3 linked regions of the Arabidopsis thaliana genome follow. The protein of the gene in region 2 purifies or fractionates together with the protein of the main gene of each other region. This does not show direct contact. Each region holds a gene or a part of one and is shown on either strand. Other genes may lie near its edges. The genes, in order: AT3G25880, AT2G19940 and AXL.

Region 1 (4,660 bases), on a different chromosome or scaffold from region 2:
ATATCATTTCATTAATTTGTATGCTCATGTATAACACGTCATTTATGTGGCCAATATGGACGGTCCATGTAATCCAGACAAAATTGTTCGAGTTGTAATTCTTTGTTTGGTATAGCGTTTTGTTGGGAAGCAACCGAAACAATCGTTTTCGAGCAAAGCCATTTGCAAAAACTATGAAAGCCTTACGAAAAGAGAAAATGATGATAGTCAACTATTATAATGCTCTAATAGTTGGACCCTAATTGTAATAGATTTACGTATAAAAAAAAAGACAAATTTTGGATAGACCTTGTATATCAGATTTTCCAGCACATGTATAAAGCCGTGCAGGTCTATGTACATATCTCGATACACAGCTATATGTCATGCCAATACATATCTCGATTAAGATTAGCTTGACTAGCAACCTAAGTCCACAACTACTACTATTGTGAATGACTAGACTTTTAACTCGTTTAATATATTGTTTGTGTTAGAAAGATATAATAGATTTTAAAAGAAAAAAAAGATTTGAGAATTATGTATATAAAACAAAAAGAAGACATGTTAATTTGCTTCAATCATATCATTTCGTGTTAGTAATTCTATATCTTATCATCCACTTTTGACTTATTCAATTAACTTAAAGTATCATAGGAAAGAACGAGATAGCACGTCATATTAAAATGGATGGATGTGATTCACACTTGCACAATTCTCGTCTTGCGCTAAATTTCTGTCCAATTTCGTCTGCCAACCTACAACTTACAAGGTCCAAAAGCCCTTTAATATAATTACGCATTATTAGTATTTTCCAATGTCAAGAAAACAATAAATGGACTATAACTCTCTGCTTAATGCCTAAAGGGCTAGAACAATTAGTCAATTAGTGGATAGACGATTTTTTAGAGGTTTAAATAGTTTTCAAATAAAAATAAAATATATTTCTGTATTAATATAACATAATAAAAACAAGTTAATAGAAATAAATTGTATATTTTAAATTAATCAAAATACATAAGCAAGAAATATGAGTATTCAGTATTCACTAATTTTAAAATACATAAATTTAAAAGCATTAGGCTAAATTCACCTATCTTACCAAAATCTATCTAATACAATTAATCTGCATGATAACTGGATAATCTGCTAAATCTAACTAGCTACTTAAGAGGTGGTGATCTACGCCTAGAACGTCTAATCATGATTTAGGAGATTTTAAGCGGCTACACATTTACAACATAACATATTATAAATATTATATTATAAATAAAATTCATAGAAAACTATCTCTTAGAAAAATAAAAATATGAAATTATAAACAAAACTTAGATAAAACCATTTATAATTCATAGCAAACAATATATACAAAGCTAAAACTTATAATTTAAATTGATATAGTTGGAAACAAACAATATATACAAAGCTAAAACTTATAATTTAAATTTATATAGTTGGAAACAAACAATATATACAAAGCTAAAACTTATAATTTAAATTTATATAGTTGAAAACTAAAAAATAAACTAAAATAAAACTTATGGAATTTTAGACAGCCAAAACGGTTATTTAGATATCACATAAACGTCTAAAATCTAGATGACGATCAACTAGGGATGTCAGACGGGCGAGCACGCGACCAAATGGGGGGTCCGTGATGGCCCGTGCTTCTTTTCCATAAGTGGTGGTCCGGTCCGCCAACGACCACATGCGACCAATCGAAGCCCATATTCGCCTCGCAATGTCCATTGGTCTAACGGTCTGGCCCGCAATCCTGTTCTGTTCTAGTTGTCTCTGAAACACACTGTGTTGTTCTCGTCTCTGAAACACAGTGTTGTTCTCGTCTCTGAAACCTTCGCTTATGGAGAACTTCTGTTCTATTGCATGCCTTTGAAGACAAGAGACTTTGACCGTAATAAATGGTTATTCCACAAGTTTTGTAATTCTGTGTTATCACCAAACACAAACTGTTCAGTCTACTCCATCGTTAATATCTAGGTTCACCATTGAATCTTCCACCAGCTATAACCAAACAACGACGAAAAAGAGATGTCATAACTATTTAACTACACAAATAGCATCTAAAAATAGCAACAAAAAAAATCAAAAACTAGTCATTACTTAGTACCTATGAAATTGTTTCCAAATGTCTCCAATTAGAACCTTGGATCCTTCAACGATGGTGATACTACCAACACCACCAAGGACGAGATTCTTCAAGGCATTGGAACCAATAGGACCACAATTGAGTAAACAGATACTCGCTTCTTCCAAAGTCCCTTGACTTCACCTCAAAATCCTAATCAATCAACGATTACTTCATAAAATTTCCTCCCAACAAGATTCGTTCGAAGATCGATAGAATAATACAAATGTAGAGTTCGAAGAGACTAACATAGTATACATGAGTTGACGATCGTACTTGGCTTTAGGTTCCATCATTGTTAGAGATGAGAGATCATATGTTCGTAAGTCGTAAACAGAGGAAGAAGAACAAGCGCGTCGTCCACAAGTCCGCAGACATTAATAGATAAACCATGACTAATCCACAATCCAAAGTTCCAAACGCACCCAACCCGCAATGCCCGCTCTTTTTTTGGACTCCCTTATACAGGCCCATACCTACTCTGCAATATTACTAAACGGGCCAGGCAAAGGCCCAATTGATATCTTTACCATCAACACTTTTTTAAAACATTGATTTTAGTAAAATTTATGTTGTTTAGGAACGTCAAACGCTTAAATAGCTTTTGTTTGACTTGTAGTTTTGCAAATATATAACTTCTCTTTTGACGTATAAAATAAAACTGAAGAATCTGAAATTTGGATAACATGTTAATAATCTTCTTTTACCATTTTTTTCAAAAGTATTGTAGTTAAAAAAAAATTGATTATTGTAAGAAGGGGAAAAACATGAAGGACTACAAGTCTACAACGATAAACTAACGCTGTCTGGTTCCGGTTTACAGTTCAGATCCAAACCCAAACCCTGTAACCCGACCCGATTAATCTCATCGAATTCTCCGTCTCGAACGCCGTTACAATCCAACGAGTTTCTCAACCCAAGATTCTGACTCCGTTTCCTCTTCTTAGACGGTAACTCTCCCTCAGCAACACCGCCGTTAACTTTCGCAACCGTTCGTGTCGCCACGTGTACTCTCCGTAATATCTTGAAAAACTCATCCACCTCTTCCTCCGTTACCGTCCGAACAACTTCCGTCGACGGTTTCCCTCTGTTACCGTCAGATTTTCCGTTATCTTCTTCTACGCGTTCTTCTTTCTTCAAAGAGTTGTTCATGTTAGCCAGAAGAAAATGTTAACGGCGTCGTTTAAGCTTAGTCAAGAAAAAATTATTTGCTGATTTTATTTTGCTAAAATTTATAATGAAACTCTTATAGCCGTCGGTGTGGAACTTAGACGGTCGATATTGTCAACAACTAAATAAATTGGACGGTGGAGATTGATGCTAATGACATCATCATGCGATGTTTTAAAGCGTAAGTATCATGACGTCACACTTTATTGACTTTTGGAATAAAGGAAGTCCATGTGTGGAAAAATTGGTATCGGCTATATTTTTAGAGTATATGTAAGAAATAACTTTTGACTTCAAAAGAATACACAAAATAACCTTGGACCAAATAGTATTTGTCGGCTACAGAAATTTTGGCAATAGTTAGTCTATTTTAGCCTTTCTCTTTCTTCTTCCTTCTTTTGTTTCTTTTTCATCTTCTTTACGAGACTTTAGCCATGGAGTTCTCTTTCTCTCTTCATCTTTAACACAATTCATCTTCTTCAGATTCACCATGTCATTTTCTTTTTCTATTTCTCTCTCCCTCTCCTAAAATAATCTTCACCACCTCTCATAAAATATATCATCATATCTCTTTATTTTGTTCACCTACATGTTCTCTCTTTCTTTTTCCATAGAAATCTCTCTATCTCTCATTCTTTATTTTCTCTTTTTACCTGAATTTTCCGTCAATGTCGTTGTGATATAAGAGATTAGATTTGATTTTAAAACAAATGTCTGATTTTAAAATGCATGTATTTTAAGAACAAAACATGTTATTAACACTGATATATTAATATTTGTCATGCTATCCAATAAAAACTCATGAAATAAATAAATATTTGTCATGTTATCCAATAAAAACCCATGTAATATTGTAACAATTCTATATGTTTTTTTAAACTTCGCGATCTATAAGAGAATTGCATGCTTTTTATAAATATTTCGTGCTATTTCTGAGAAACACATTATTTCAGAGAAACATATATATCGTGTATATATATTCTGTATGTATTTTAAAGAATTGCATGATTTTTGTAAATATATCATGCTATTTTAGACAAATACATATAAACTTTATAACTAAAGCCAATGGCATTATTGTAAAAATAAGTAAACACAAGGATATTTTTGTATTTTCTCTTTTTCAGAAAATGTTATTTACCTAACTTTTCTGACACAATGTCATTCTCTCAATTCTTTTCCATTTCATAGTTAGTTTCTAATATTACCCATATTTTTATATACATAGAGATCTATATTTTTATAATTTAACAAAGACCAAAAAAATTTGGCCAAACAACAAATAAATAAGGAAGACTAAGAACTTGTGAATTGTGATCATCGTTAACGTGGGGAAGATTTTCTTGCGATTATTATTCCTAGTCT
Region 2 (6,735 bases):
CTTACAAGAAAGGTTCTAAACTTGTTGATTCAGGTAGAGGTAGAAAAAAGTAGAGTTTCGCGACGCGCATCAGCAACTTGGGAAGAAGATTCTGAGATTAAGACACTTGAGTATGTCTTTTAGCTATGTTCTAATGTGATTTATGATATATATATATCTGCTGAGTTTGTTGTTCGATACTTACAAAATACCATTTCAGGCCTCTTCCATTGTATCACAGACACATGGCTACAGCGAGCACACAGGTAGAGATTTGGGAGCCCATTACGAATTGTCGGCGTTCTCTTTTAACTTTACTCTTATGTTTGCTTTGTTCGCCTTCTGTCTTCAGTTGCAGAATGCAGTGAAACTGTTAGACTCAGGAGCTGTAAGGGCCACTAGGTTCCTTTGGCGGTACCCAATAGCACGGATGTTCCTACTTTTTTACCTTGTAAGGCGCTCGCTTATTTCAATCTCATTCGCCTTACTTGTGAATTTATGGAACATTAAGCTGACATCATTTATGAATTTGCAGGTCTTTGTTCATCTCTTCTTGATGTATCTAATACACCGACTCCAGGTATGCTTGGTCATTTTACATTGAAAATCACATCACAGTCATGGAACTCAACTTGTTGTCGTTCCTAAATCTCGTGTAGGAGCAAGCCGAGGCCCAGGAAGTTGCGGCAATGACCAACAACGTTTTCAGACTATAACAGATTCCATAAGAAAGCAACACATGGTGGTTTTAAGAGATTGCTGAGTAATGTGGAAGAAAGAAGCATAACTATGGATTATAGAGAAGACTTTTAAAACTTTATATATATAGAGGCTGCTTCTTACGATATTCCAATCTAACCTGTTGGTATGTGAAGAACATAATGTTGGTAAATGGGGTTTATACACACTTGATTGATAGGCATGGTTGGTTTTAAAAGCATTTGAATATATATCTGTTGAGCCTATTAAAGTTCGGTTTACTTATTTTCTCTGACGCCCGAACTCGGTTTAGTTTTGGTCACCCTAAGCTGAATATGTATTTTGGCCACCGCCACATCCAACAATCTGTAATAGAATAAGTTCAACTTTCTTTTGTGACTCAAACGAAAATTGCAATTCAGAAAATAGAGATAACAAGAATAAAGGTTCATCAAAACCTTAATAAACAAACAACAAAACCATTTATTTGTAATGGTAAAAGAAGAGGCTTTATTGTCTATAAATATGAATCATATAACCAACCATCTTTATGCTTAACATTGCCGTCTCAACAGCTTCAGATTGGTCATCTGAAGATAGGAATAAAGACAAACGCTTAAGCAGGCAAATCTAATGACAGAAATATCTTCAAGATACAGAGCCAACAAGAGAGAAGAATGCTATTTTACCGATTTAAAGGTGGGATTTTTAAGGGAAAAGCGGCTGGTGTAGGAGCCCCGTTGTTTCGGGATATCCCAACATTATGTTAAGATTCTGCAACGCTTGTCCCGAAGCTCCTTTCACAAGATTATCAATCTGCAACACCAGAGAGCTTTTTATACACAAAGCAATATTGTCGAAAGCTAAAGATGAGTTTATAACAGAGGATGGTTATGCTTAATTACCACTGAGATTATGATAGCTCTTCCAGGAATTCGATCAGGAAAGACACTCATATGACAATAGTTGGATCCTCTAACGTTGTGTGTCCGAGGAACAACTCCTTCATCCAACACTTTGACAAATTCTTCATCCTACAAAACATTTTTGAAACATAATAAGTAACAAAAGTAGTAATTGGCTTACAACATAAGAGTAATCATCACCTCATAAGACGTCTTCAATTGCTGGTGTAAATCTTCGGTTCTAACCCCGGGAGCCATTTCCACATATATAGTCGATTGCATTCCACGGATCTACCCAAACAACTGAGGATCAGTTAATGGGTTTAAGGTTAAAAATTATAGAAATCATGCTAAGATTATTTGTACCATTGGCATGAGATGTGGCGTAAAACTGACTGTTACTTTTGACTGTGCAACATCAGATAATCCCTGTTCAATTTCAGGAACTGCAAAACAAAAGAGATATTGAATTCAAATCATGGCAAAATTTTAACTCATTGTGATAATTAGTTTGTGACATACCATGGCGATGACGGGTGACACCATAAGAAGAAATGCCTTCAGCTATCTCAGAGTAAAGATTTGCCTCCTTAGCACCACGTCCTGATGAAAATTTCATATCAGTCAAGAAACTAGAAACATTGCATCATTGTTCATTGATCACGGAGTAAGCTCAAACCTGCTCCACTAACACCAGATTTTGCATCGATAATGATGTTTTCATGTTTGATGAGATTTGCCTGCACCAAAATCAACACATTGAGTAGAGAGACGGAAGACTAGGCAGTTAAGTAAAATCGCATACCAGAAAAGAATAGAAAAACAAACCTTTAGTAAAGGAACAAGAGGAAGTTGAATCGTAGTCGGGTAACAGCCTGGGTTAGCCACAAGTCGTGCCTTTTTTATGTCCTCCCTTAGTATCTCTGTTAGACCATACACAACTTCTTTCTGAACCCCGTAGGACACTTGGTAAGTATAACCATTATGAACACAACAGACCTAAAATCAAGGAATAACATTGAGAGAAATGTACCTGTAACTCTACTGCCTTGTGAGGCTGACCATACCATTCTTCATATTCTGCAATATTACGCAACCGGAAGTCCTGAAAAGCGTATTTTAGATGGGCTTATAACTGAAAGAAAAGGAACAAAAAAAAAACAGTTCTTCAAGGATTACCGCTGAAAGATCAACGATTTTCAATGCAGTAGGCAGTTCCTTGATGATTTCCTGTTGAAATACACACTCATTTCCGTTAAGCTAAGAAAAGCTTTAAGAAATTGAAATGGAAGAATGAAAGGAAAATGAACCTGAGTTGTTCCGTGAGGTAAACAGCAGAATACAGCATCCACAGTAGAAAAATCTGCATCCTTTACCGAGACCAAAGTAGGTAGTTTCTGTGGACAGTAAAGGTTCAATTATTAATCAATATACACCATCACAAAGTAACATTGAACAGATTCATTTCTTGGTATATTACTAGGGATAGAAATCACTTATACTTGAGCTCTCAGGTGTGGGAAAACGCTTTCCATTGACTGGCCAGCTTTTCTATCAGCAGTCATCAAAGTGACCTGGAAATGCGGATGATTTGCAAGAAGCCTAACGATCTGCAATTCAATAAAGAAGAGTAAACTTACCATCTCATGGGTTTGAATGAAACCTTGAATGCCTCATCCATTCTTTCCCTTGTAATTTTAAACAACTTTAAAGCAACGACTATAAGACTTTTCTCTTCCTTTTATCGAGAAAAGATTAACTTTGCATATGTTTACAGCTTAAGCTAAATTAGAAGGCCAATACCCAAAAAGTCAAAAACTTGCAACAAGATGCATACCACTTAAGCTCTGATTCATTGCAAAACCAAAGAGATCACTAAAACAAACAATTCCAAGAAAATTAAACTTGAAACAGACAGATTCAACATTGCACAAACCTCAGCACCAGTGTAGCCACTTGCACCAAGAAGACCAATCCTAATATCCTTTTCAGGTTTAACAGAACTACTAGCTGAAACTCTGAAGCTCATTGAAGATGGCGAAGCCACATGGGATCCCAAAGTAAGCCTCTTGGCTCGCTTATCCGCTACACAATTTTCCTTTCGCCCTTTTCAAAACAAAGAAAACCCACATTTACATGATTATCAGATTGCAATAACACAACACAAGCTACAATGAGCTTGAATGTGGATTCAGTGGGAAAAAAAACAGAGATTTTGAAGAGTTTTAGGAATTGACCTTGAACCAGCATCCTTGGATTGAACTAAAAGCCGACGCAGTACTCATTATTGGATTCGATTCTGCAAAAAACAAAATTCAGGAACAAAAAAAGACTAATCTTTTTGCTAAGAACAAGAAGAAATTAGCTTCTCTCAATGTGATTTGATATTGAGAGTCAATTATGGTAGTGATGAAACAAATACCCGTAAACTCTTCGTCACTCTCTCTCTCTATACGAAGTGGTCGGAGAAGTTCGACGGAGAAGAAGACAGCAGAAAACCACGACAAAGATTGTGGGACGAAAACGCAAGAACGACGACGTTTCAGCTAGCCCTACTTAAAACCTATCAAAGCGGTGCCGTTTCAGGGATCGAACCCGTTTACTGAACAGGCTACCCGTGGTTCAACCCGGTTTATCGACGAATTAATCGTTTGCAGAAAACGCGATATGTCTTGGCGTTTGCATCGGGTGACGACAAAAATCTGGCATTTTGGTAATTCCCAGACTAAGAGTAAAGGCATTCATGTCAATTACTTGAGTAAGCGCCGAAGCGGTTAGATGAATTTGTTTCAATGGAGTCAAAAGAAAATCTAGAGAAAAAGCTCCGACCTTTTTATTTCCTCTCTGTTTCTTCTTGTGTCATCGTCAAATCAAATCCAATCACTAACAGTAGAAACTGTTTCTCTACTGGGTATTTTTTTTTGGCAACCCTTAAATTCTGAAGTAAGAGAGAAGAAGAAGAAAGTGTGAGATTCCGACGAACGGGAAGAAAAATGATAAATTTTCGCAGCATGAATCAAGCTTCTTCGAGGATAAGGATCGCTCTTTCGGGTCGGATTGAAACAGCTTTAGAGAATATCTACAGAAAACACAATCTTACTCCGATTAATGATGAGACGAGACAGAGACTGTCTTCGATTCCTGAGAATTTGGGTTTTGAGTTGGTCAGGAAAGTTTTTAGTTTGCAGGCTGGTTTGATATACAACCTCGACAGCTTCATCGTTTCTAAGGTTAACCAAGCCGTTAGTTTTACTGGCTATCCACAGCCGGCGAACTCTCTTAGCCCCTCTGGAAGACACGTGTCCAGGGTTCTTCAAGGTTAGTATCAGAAACAAACTCTCTTTGCTTGTGAAAATGTGAATTTGGATAGTAAAAATCTTTACTTTTCTTATGATTGTTGGCGATTGCAGAAGAGATGTCTGTTGATTCTGATGCTCCTTCTCCTAAGTCTTTGAAAAGTGAAGACAAAGGAGGATCTCTGCACATTCCCCAGCTGGTAGCTTTGGGTGAACTTGAATTTAAGAAGGTGTTTTTGTTACTTAGCTATATTCCAGGGTAATGTTTGTTATGCAAGTTTCCCAATTTCTTACATCTCTATATTCTCTTATCCACCTATTGTAATTGTTTGGTTTTGATGGTGACAATTACCTCTTTTGGTGATGCTTAACTTTTTCTTTATTTGATGTTATACAGGCAACATGTGGGCCAGGTTATAACTGCTGATGAGATTAGACTGTGGAAAGATTTGCCAATGGTTGAATATGAAGCAGCGGTTTGGGACCGCTTGGGCCGGCATTATTGTCCCCAAAAGGACCGAAGAATGGTATTGTTCTATTCTATTGGGTTTTGTTTATATTTTCATGTTTGCGTTTCTGAAGGTAATTTTACAAGAAGTTGAGTTTGGTATCAAAGTTGTATTAACTGCATTTTCTATCATGCTTCATTTCCCCAGTTGCAATGGGATAGCGGGAAGACCCATTACTATCAGTGTAATGTTGCTCCCAATGGTAGCTACACATTCAAGGTTCTTTCAGCTCTTCAAGTACTATCTTTTCTGTTTGCTTTTTCCATTAGGCATATGTACTTTGTGTAATATTTTTGATTCAAGCTGTAGAAGAAATTCTTTGTAAGTCGCTATCATATGTCTATAAAACAATTGATATGTCTATCAAACATTGCACCTTGACATTGACTCAATATACTTATCGACACACTGTGTTCACAGGGCCCTCTTCTTGAACACACTGGAACACACTTGCACAAGGTCTTGGGTGATGATAATGTTTTAACCGTCAAATTCGCGGATGTCCAGAAAAGTTCATCAACATATAGCATTGACCATTACTTTACATACAAAGGGATTGCCAAGAACGGTATCATGATTGGTTTACGTCGTTATCAATTTTTTGGTGGGCATTGTTTTCCCTTTTTCTCTTGATTAACTACCATTTATGTCGTTACACATACAAAACTATTTATTGTAATGTTGCTAAGCTATACACATATCATACTTCTGCTTTAGATTTAGAACCTGATATTGTAGCTCTTTGTGACATTCTATTGAACAGTTTTCAAAGATGGAGGAAAAGAGGAAAAGAAGAAAGATCTTTCTACAAAGAAAGTGAAATGCTACTTTATACGCACGGACTCAACAGCTTTTTATGATATGCAAAATCCCTATATTTTAACCGGAAAGTCAATTTATGAAGCTCGTATGCATTTTATGCACGTGCATCGAGCACCAACTTTGGCGAATTATATGGCAAGGTACTTTAAAGGAAGTATATGAAGATATTCTACTGTATCATATTTAAACTCTTCTGTAGATGTCCTTTTTTATCAGAGTCACCTTTCTTTTGCTGATGCTTCAGGTTTTCCTTAATTCTGTCAAAGACTAAAACGCTTGAAGTTGACATGACTGGGATTACCTTTGATCAAATTGATGATATACACTGCCATGTACGTCCTTAATTCATGTTTCCTTGAGGAACTTCGTCTCTAATGCCTTTACTTACTTGCATTCGCTATGTTCTTTGACCTTTTTCCATTTCTTCCAATTGCAGGATCAAGATGGGAAAGATGTTCTTGACAAGAACAAAAAACCTTGCATACATTCAGATGGAACTGGCTACATCTCTGAGGACCTGGCTCG
Region 3 (7,103 bases), 5.1 Mb from region 2:
CTAAGGTAACAGAGAGCCAGTCTGTGGCGAGCCATACGTATTCATGGGTCATCATCTGCAGCTTTTGCGCTATATCAAAAATTCTGAGCAATGGGTCCGGACCAAAATGAAGAATATAAACTCGAGGACCGATGGACTTGGATTTGTTCAAAGCATTAGTAAGGAATTTTTCATCAGAATGAACTGAGAGCGGCACTTTATAGGAAATTCTGGATCTTTTCTTGTACAGTTCATCATCTAGAGCAGAAACTCCATTTCTTCCGAGCTCATCATCCGAGTAAACTGAGATCACTTCTTTCCATCCATAAAAATTGATAAGATCCACAAGGGCAGACATTTGGTGGGCATCATTAGGTGTAGTCCGAAGAAAGAAGGGAAATTGGAGGGCAGAGAGAGTTGGATCAGTTGCTGCAAATGAGACAAGAGGAAAGTGGAGCCCTTTTGCAATATCGGAAATTGTATGAGCAACAGAGGATGAAATTGGACCGATCATAGCCACCACTTCTTTCTCAAGCAATTCAAAAGCTGCAAAACAAAAACCACTGAAGCTTAAACCAGGCCCTTAGTGGTAAAACCAAAGTTTTGTTTCCACTTATGTACAGGAAACACAGGTCCTAGTAACAGCCTGTTTAGGGTATGCGGTCTATATTGTTCTATGCATTATTAGCATTCGGAACCCAAAATATGTACCAATAAAAAACGGATTAAAACGTAAATCGATGTGCCAATCATTTCCAACTATCACAAAATGAAATATTGTTGCTACTGATGTGCATTGACCGCTTTCTATAATATGTTTGATATACTGTATCAGCCATGGATGAGTGTCACAAGTGTTTGAAACACAAAAGAACTAGAAGAACAGTCACGGTACCTCCAAAGGACCCACGAAAGACATTGCAGGCAGAATCCTCCATTAATAGCCGTAGCTCCGTTTCTTTGAGAAAGCTTTTATCATTGTTCACATCGGAAACAGCTGCCTCTAGAGCTACTTTTGCAGCTCTTCCGATAACCGAATCAAAAGCAAAAACAGCACCGATGTTCACCAGTTGAGGTCTTTGGCAATCCATTGGAACCACCAGAATGACCACAATCAGTGCCGTAATAGCGACAGATGGGTCAATGCCCAGTCCCATGGAGATAATGCAATCAAAGTAAGGACCACTTCAGATAGTTTGTGTTGGAACTAGAACCATCTCATTTAAATCTAGCAACTCTTCATTCAGCATTGAGGATGAGAAGATTAGAGAACTAAGCAAGGTAAAGTTTCCAACTTTGACCTGTAGAGTCAATGCGATTAGAAGACGAATCAAGATCTAAGCGAAGAGCAATCACAAGTCAAACCAAATTGATTATTTTAGCTGAAAACTAGCAACAATGTGGATATGAAGACTTATATACACAAACTCATCCGGACAGAAGAAAAATCTGAAAAAGAGTTTTTACAAATTCATTGAAATTAACAACAGTGAGACATTCTCTTTACCTCTTTGAGCTACCTTCTGGTTCTCTCTGCGGAATATACGCAAACACTTTGTAGGCATAAGTTAAAAAAGGGAAATTTTACGACAACGCAACGAATTTTTAACAAGAGAAGTCAAGAACTATCTTTTTTAAAAAACCATGATTTGACAGGAGATTACTAAAGGAAGAGAAACAAAACTAGAGAGATCAAATCATGCCCAGAAATTCATCCATCATTCTTCTTCTTCTGAGAACAAAATAGAAGAGAGAAATTGAAAAACGTGTGACTGAAGTGCTTTTTTGATTCGAGCTCACAAAGTCCTATCTAGTCTATATACTCTATAGTCACAGCAGCCGTTTGTTTGTATTTTTGTTTTCAGTGGGGCCCATCATTATTGGGCCCTACATGTAACGGCCCATTTTGTTAAGTTTATTTAAGATTAGATTACAATATAAATATTTTAATTGCCATGTGTTAATCATTTTATTTCTTCTCAAAAGTTTATTCTCTTAAGTTAATTTGTCAATGAAATGTTAATAGTATTTCATTTTATTTTTGCATAAAGAGAGACCCGTAGCAAGGCAAAATTTGAGTTGGCGTTTTTTATTCATAATAAAGATTTTTAGGCGGCAAAAAACTATTACATAATGAGATTTTATCACTTATTCATCTAATAATATTTAATTAAATTACATATGTGTTTTTTTCTAGCTATGTCATTTATTTTTACAATTTATATAAAATTTTGATATGTTTCCATGTATATATATATTTTAATAAATGAAAACTCAATCCAGAAAACATAAATTTTGATTTTATTTTAAATTATATGTTTTTATTTATAATTTGTTATCTCTTTTATACATTAAGGTGTTTTTGCAATAATACAGTCTTAATTTTTAAAAATTACAATTAAGCCCTAAACTTTGTAAATGTTCCAAATTAGGAAGGAAATAAAGAAAGGAGACAACTTAAGGTTCTCTTATTAAATGCCATTCCCTTTCTTTCTTACAAGTCACAACCTCTCTCTCTCTCTCTCTCTCTCTCTCTCTCTCTCTGCGTCTTTCTCTTTCTCTCTGTCTGAAGTTGAGAACACGAACCACTGAAAAACCCGCGAAAGACTCGAGCACGAACCAACAATGGCGGAACCCAAAACCAAGTATGATCGTCAGCTAAGGTGCACTCTTTCTCCTCCCAACTCTCTTTCTCTTCTTCAACTTCTCTGTCTCTTTCATCATTCTTCTTAATTTCGCTCAAATTGTGATGATTGGGGATAAATTCATAGGATTTGGGGAGAATTAGGTCAATCAGCTCTTGAAACCGCGAGCATATGTTTGCTCAATTGTGGTCCAACTGGCTCTGAGGCTCTAAAGAATCTTGTTATTGGTGGAATCGGAAGTATCACCATTGTCGACGGATCTAAAGTAGAAATTGGCGACCTTGGAAACAATTTCATGGGTATAATTCTCTCTTTTTCATCTTTCTTAAGCAATGCGTTTCTTCTATTTGCTGTTTATTGACATTTATTGATGATTGTTGTTGATGTTTCAGTGGATGCGAAGAGCGTTGGTCAGTCAAGAGCCAAAACGGTCTGTGGCTTTCTTCAGGAGCTTAACGATTCTGTTAAAGCAAATTTTGTTGAGGAGAATCCAGACACTTTGATATCGACAGACCCATCTTTCTTCTCTCAGTTCACTCTAGTTATCGCCACTCAGGTACATTATGTTGAGGATTAGATAGTTTCTAGTCTTTGTTTTCAGATTTTCACAGAGCGTTTGCCTTATTAGTTTGTCATGTGTTGATTGTAGCTAGTAGAAGATTCAATGGTGAAATTAGATAGAATCTGCCGGGAAGCAAACGTCATGTTGGTTTTGGCTCGCTCCTATGGACTTACTGGGTTTGTTCGTATCAGTGTAAAGGTAAGATTTTTGTGGATAGAGTGCTTTGTCACTTGTCATATGGTCTGTCTGCTAACTGCTATGTCATGTTCGCTCTTTCCTGTCAGGAACACACCGCTATTGAGACAAAGCCTGATCATTCTCTTGATGATCTCCGCTTGAATAGTCCATGGCCTGAGCTGAAGAGGTACTCTGCTTCAATCTTCTCACTCGTTATGTGTTCTTGCCATTCTTTAAACTTGTGTTTCAAATTACTTTTAATCTCCACAAACTTGCAACCAGTTGAAAGAAAATCTTATTTATTCAATGATCTGCAGCTATGTGGAGTCCATTGATCTAAATGTAGAAGAACCCGCTGCCCATAAGCACATTCCTTACGTCGTCATTCTAGTCAAGGTGGCTGAAGAATGGGCTCAACACCATAGCGGCAACCTTCCATCAACCAGGGAAGAGAAAAACGAGTTTAAGGTATCCTTACTTTTTGTTAATCAGCAAACAGTTATTAATCTTTGTTTTTCTTGTGATTCCTTGTCTTTATCTCTCTTACTCCTTGAAATTTTAGGACTTAGTTAAGTCCAAGATGGTATCAGCGGATGAAGAAAATTACAAAGAAGCCCTTCTTGCAGCTTTCAAAGTCTTTGCTCCTACAGGAATCAGTAAGTATACATACACCTCGTCTTGACATCGGTGGAAACTGGACTTTTAAATATATACTATAGATGCTGGAAATAAAGAAATTGGTTGGAGAATGGGAAAAACTGCAACGAGAACCAAATGGACAACTATCTACTATTTTCATGAAGCATGATTCATTGCTGCTCATTCATAACAGATCAGTTAACATTGGAGTTCAAAATATGAAGTCAGTTTTCACATTGAACTAAACATGTTTTCTTTTTCTCCAGGCCAAGAGATTCAAGACATTAATCATGATAGTTGTGCTGAAGTTGGCTCAAATTCCTCAGATTTTTGGGTAATGGTAGCAGCACTCAAGGTTTGTAACTTGAAAGACCTCACTTCAAAGCACATACTTCATATTGATATTTCAAACATGGAAGGGGTTGAGAACGTTTGTTGGGGTTTTAGTATTTTTTTGATCCAAGTTAGCTTTTTTTTCTGATTCCCATCAACATGGCTCAAATTCCTCAGATTTTTCTGATCCAAGTTAACCCTACTTATTATATGCATCATCTGCAGGAGTTTATTTCAAATGAAGGTGGTGGGGAGGTACCACTTGAAGGTTCCATGCCTGATATGATATCTTCCACAGAGTAAGTTCTCCTGTTCTTGCTTTTGTTTCATGGGAGGGATAAAATTCGTCCATCACCTTTATCAGATTACTATATAGCTGTATTGTATCTTTTGCAGGCACTACATCAATTTGCAGAAAATCTACCATTCCAAAGCGGAAGCTGATTTTCTTTCCATGGAACAGAGAGTAAAAAGTATTCTAGTTAAAGTTGGTCAGGATCCAAGTAGCATCTCAAAGCCAACTATCAAGAGCTTCTGCAAGAATGCACGAAAACTTAAAGTGAGAATGCTGAAATTTCTTACAATTTGATGTGTACTGTATCATTAAAACCGGGAATTGCGCCTTGTAGGTCTGCAGATATAGAACGATAGAAGACGAGTTCAAAAGTCCTTCTACAACAGAACTACATAAGTACTTGGCTGATGAGAATTACAGGTAAGAATGACTTCGTCAAAATTGATTCTTTTATACGACCATAGAGACTGTGATAACAAAAATATTACTGGAGTATATTTGTAGAACTGAAAAATAATATTTACAGTTGCAGCATTTTGGAGGCATGTTGCTGTTAGCTCTTAAGGGTCTTACCACTTTTCTGTTTATTCCTCTTGCAGTGGCGCAATTGGATTTTATATTCTTCTTAGAGCTGTTGATAGATTTGCTGGTACCTATAAGAAGTTTCCTGGACAGTTTGATGGGTAAGAGAACACATTCTGGCAAAATTTGATTGTATCTTGAATAATTTTGGCATTGTTAGGCCATTAACATGTCTCTTTTCTCATAGATCAACTGATGAGGACGCATCCCAGTTAAAGACTATTGCCCTGAGTCTTCTTAGTGAAATGGGTTGTGACGGCTATGAACTTCAGGAAGAACTGTACAATGAGATGTGTAGATTTGGTGCTGCAGAGATTCACGTGGTTGCTGCTTTAATAGGAGGAATCACATCTCAAGAAGTGATCAAGGTTCGTTTCATATCCATGTTGCTCAAAATGGTTACCCCGCAGTATCAAATAGGAGTGTGAAACAAACATTAACCTCTTTTATGGTTTGGCAATGTTTGCAGCTCATCACAAAGCAGTTTGTTCCCAAGCGAGGAACTTTCATCTTCAACGGCATTGATCACAAGTCTCAGTCTTTGACATTATAGAAGATTCTTAGACACTGGTGGCTGCAGAAGAACTCCAACATATCTTTTACCCTCACTTCAAGTTGAAACTTAACCTTTTCTTGGAGTTTTTATTCTGCTATACACCAGACTAACTAGATATCATTTCTTTGTAGAAACAGTTTCGAATTCCTCATGTATATTGATTGATTTTGAGCCGCGGTTCAAAACCGAAGAGCTCGCGTTAAGTGATGGGCATAGAGCCATTTTTGTATGACTTTCCTAAAGCAAAATTCTGGTATCGTTTCAAAATAGTCATATACTGCAATTTTAAAAGGATCAGACTTTTGGCTAAAACAAAGTACAGAGGTCTACAGAAGAATACAACAACAAACCACTGATGCGGTCGGGGGATTACAAAATAATCCTAGATTATGACAATCCAAAATTGACGAAACGGTAGAGATGGTACAGAAACAGACAAATCTACTCGGTGGAGAGTCTCTTTGTGGGATTGTAAACGCTGAATTCTCCAAAGTCTCTTCGGCCACTAGCAACAAAACAATCAAACCCTTGTAAAGAACAAGGTCCACATAAATTCACTTTTAGTAAATTCAAAGACTTTTGGTTCTCTAACACAAAAGTTGTTACTTGTCTCATGTCACAACAAGATATGATAAACATCCAAGTAGAACCTCAAGTTTATAATTAAAAAGAAGACGTAAATCTAAGGTTTACCTGTGACTAACATTCCAACCACCAGGTAAATGGCGAGGATGAACAGCATCAACAAACACTTTTCTCCACCTTTGACAGAAATCACGTACACCATCTTCTCCATGTTCCCTTAAAAGATATTCTACGATCTGTTTCCCGTGCGGTCCATGTCCTAACAAAGAGAGTTTGGAGTTTTGTTGGTGCAACGTATTCCCATTACACTGAGTATCATTTAGCTCTTTAGCTCCATCTCCTTCACTTGTACCATCACCACTATCATCAACAACTGTGCTCCTTTCTACAGTCATAATTTTCTCAAAATCTGCAAGAGCCTCCCCATCATTGTTTTCATCTAAAGATACGAAGTTGTTTGCATCAGTATTTCTGGATATCAAAGGATCATCATATCTTACACTTTATCAACCAACACAATTTTCAATGCTTATTATATGGTTACCTTCTTGTTTGTCCATACCAGCAACCTCTGCAGAATGTTTGAAGGAGACCCCTTTTTTCCTTTCGAGTTTTCTTCTTTCGTGAGGGCTCAATCCGATGAGTAAAGCTTTCTCTAAATCTTCTTCAGATAGGTCCCGTCCACCGTAATACATCTTCACAGTCTATATTCAGAATCCAAAAGAAAGTATCAATAACAGAATACTTGGT

Evidence for each region.
Region 1: the proteins of AT2G19940 (region 2) and AT3G25880 fractionate together in Arabidopsis thaliana (co-fractionation; one large-scale study listed by BioGRID). This does not show direct contact.
Region 3: the proteins of AT2G19940 (region 2) and AXL fractionate together in Arabidopsis thaliana (co-fractionation; one large-scale study listed by BioGRID). This does not show direct contact.

The regions. Positions count from the first base shown.
Region 1 is NC_003074.8:9,467,613-9,472,272, forward strand, and holds AT3G25880 (NAD(P)-binding Rossmann-fold superfamily protein), read right to left. Parts: upstream 2,422-4,660; coding exon 2,375-2,421; intron 2,264-2,374; coding exon 2,108-2,263; coding exon of another isoform or gene 2,101-2,107; exon of another isoform or gene 2,002-2,100; coding exon 1,980-2,001; 3' UTR 1,493-1,979; downstream 1-1,492. Other genes in the region: NIMIN-2 (NIM1-interacting 2), read right to left, coding at 2,909-3,277.
Region 2 is NC_003071.7:8,610,301-8,617,035, reverse strand, and holds AT2G19940 (Putative N-acetyl-gamma-glutamyl-phosphate reductase), read right to left. Parts: upstream 4,111-6,735; 5' UTR 4,006-4,110; intron 4,003-4,005; exon of another isoform or gene 3,883-4,002; 5' UTR 3,869-3,882; coding exon of another isoform or gene 3,834-3,868; coding exon 3,821-3,833; intron 3,690-3,820; coding exon 3,520-3,689; intron 3,194-3,519; coding exon 3,086-3,193; intron 2,981-3,085; coding exon 2,894-2,980; intron 2,814-2,893; coding exon 2,763-2,813; intron 2,689-2,762; coding exon 2,617-2,688; intron 2,532-2,616; coding exon 2,412-2,531; intron 2,324-2,411; coding exon 2,263-2,323; intron 2,187-2,262; coding exon 2,106-2,186; intron 2,030-2,105; coding exon 1,950-2,029; intron 1,875-1,949; coding exon 1,785-1,874; intron 1,713-1,784; coding exon 1,584-1,712; intron 1,495-1,583; coding exon 1,387-1,494; 3' UTR 919-1,386; downstream 1-918. Other genes in the region: GC1 (golgin Putative 1), read left to right, coding at 34-110, 200-245, 332-430, 515-559, 639-695; AT2G19930 (RNA-dependent RNA polymerase family protein), read left to right, coding at 4,577-4,901, 4,994-5,138, 5,277-5,406, 5,536-5,607, 5,809-5,992, 6,152-6,350, 6,455-6,542, 6,647-6,735.
Region 3 is NC_003071.7:13,755,098-13,762,200, forward strand, and holds AXL (AXR1-like protein), read left to right. Parts: upstream 1-2,495; 5' UTR 2,496-2,604; coding exon 2,605-2,642; intron 2,643-2,750; coding exon 2,751-2,923; intron 2,924-3,016; coding exon 3,017-3,180; intron 3,181-3,273; coding exon 3,274-3,384; intron 3,385-3,470; coding exon 3,471-3,550; intron 3,551-3,680; coding exon 3,681-3,831; intron 3,832-3,925; coding exon 3,926-4,019; intron 4,020-4,268; coding exon 4,269-4,357; intron 4,358-4,560; coding exon 4,561-4,634; intron 4,635-4,731; coding exon 4,732-4,894; intron 4,895-4,964; coding exon 4,965-5,050; coding exon of another isoform or gene 5,051-5,054; exon of another isoform or gene 5,055-5,156; coding exon of another isoform or gene 5,157-5,187; exon of another isoform or gene 5,188-5,229; coding exon 5,230-5,313; intron 5,314-5,399; coding exon 5,400-5,580; intron 5,581-5,681; coding exon 5,682-5,765; 3' UTR 5,766-6,055; downstream 6,056-7,103. Other genes in the region: GLR5 (glutamate receptor 5), read right to left, coding at 1-525, 875-1,136; AT2G32415 (Polynucleotidyl transferase, ribonuclease H fold protein with HRDC domain-containing protein), read right to left, coding at 6,210-6,273, 6,462-6,792, 6,898-7,057. UniProt on the Arabidopsis thaliana protein: Regulatory subunit of the dimeric ECR1-AXL1 E1 enzyme.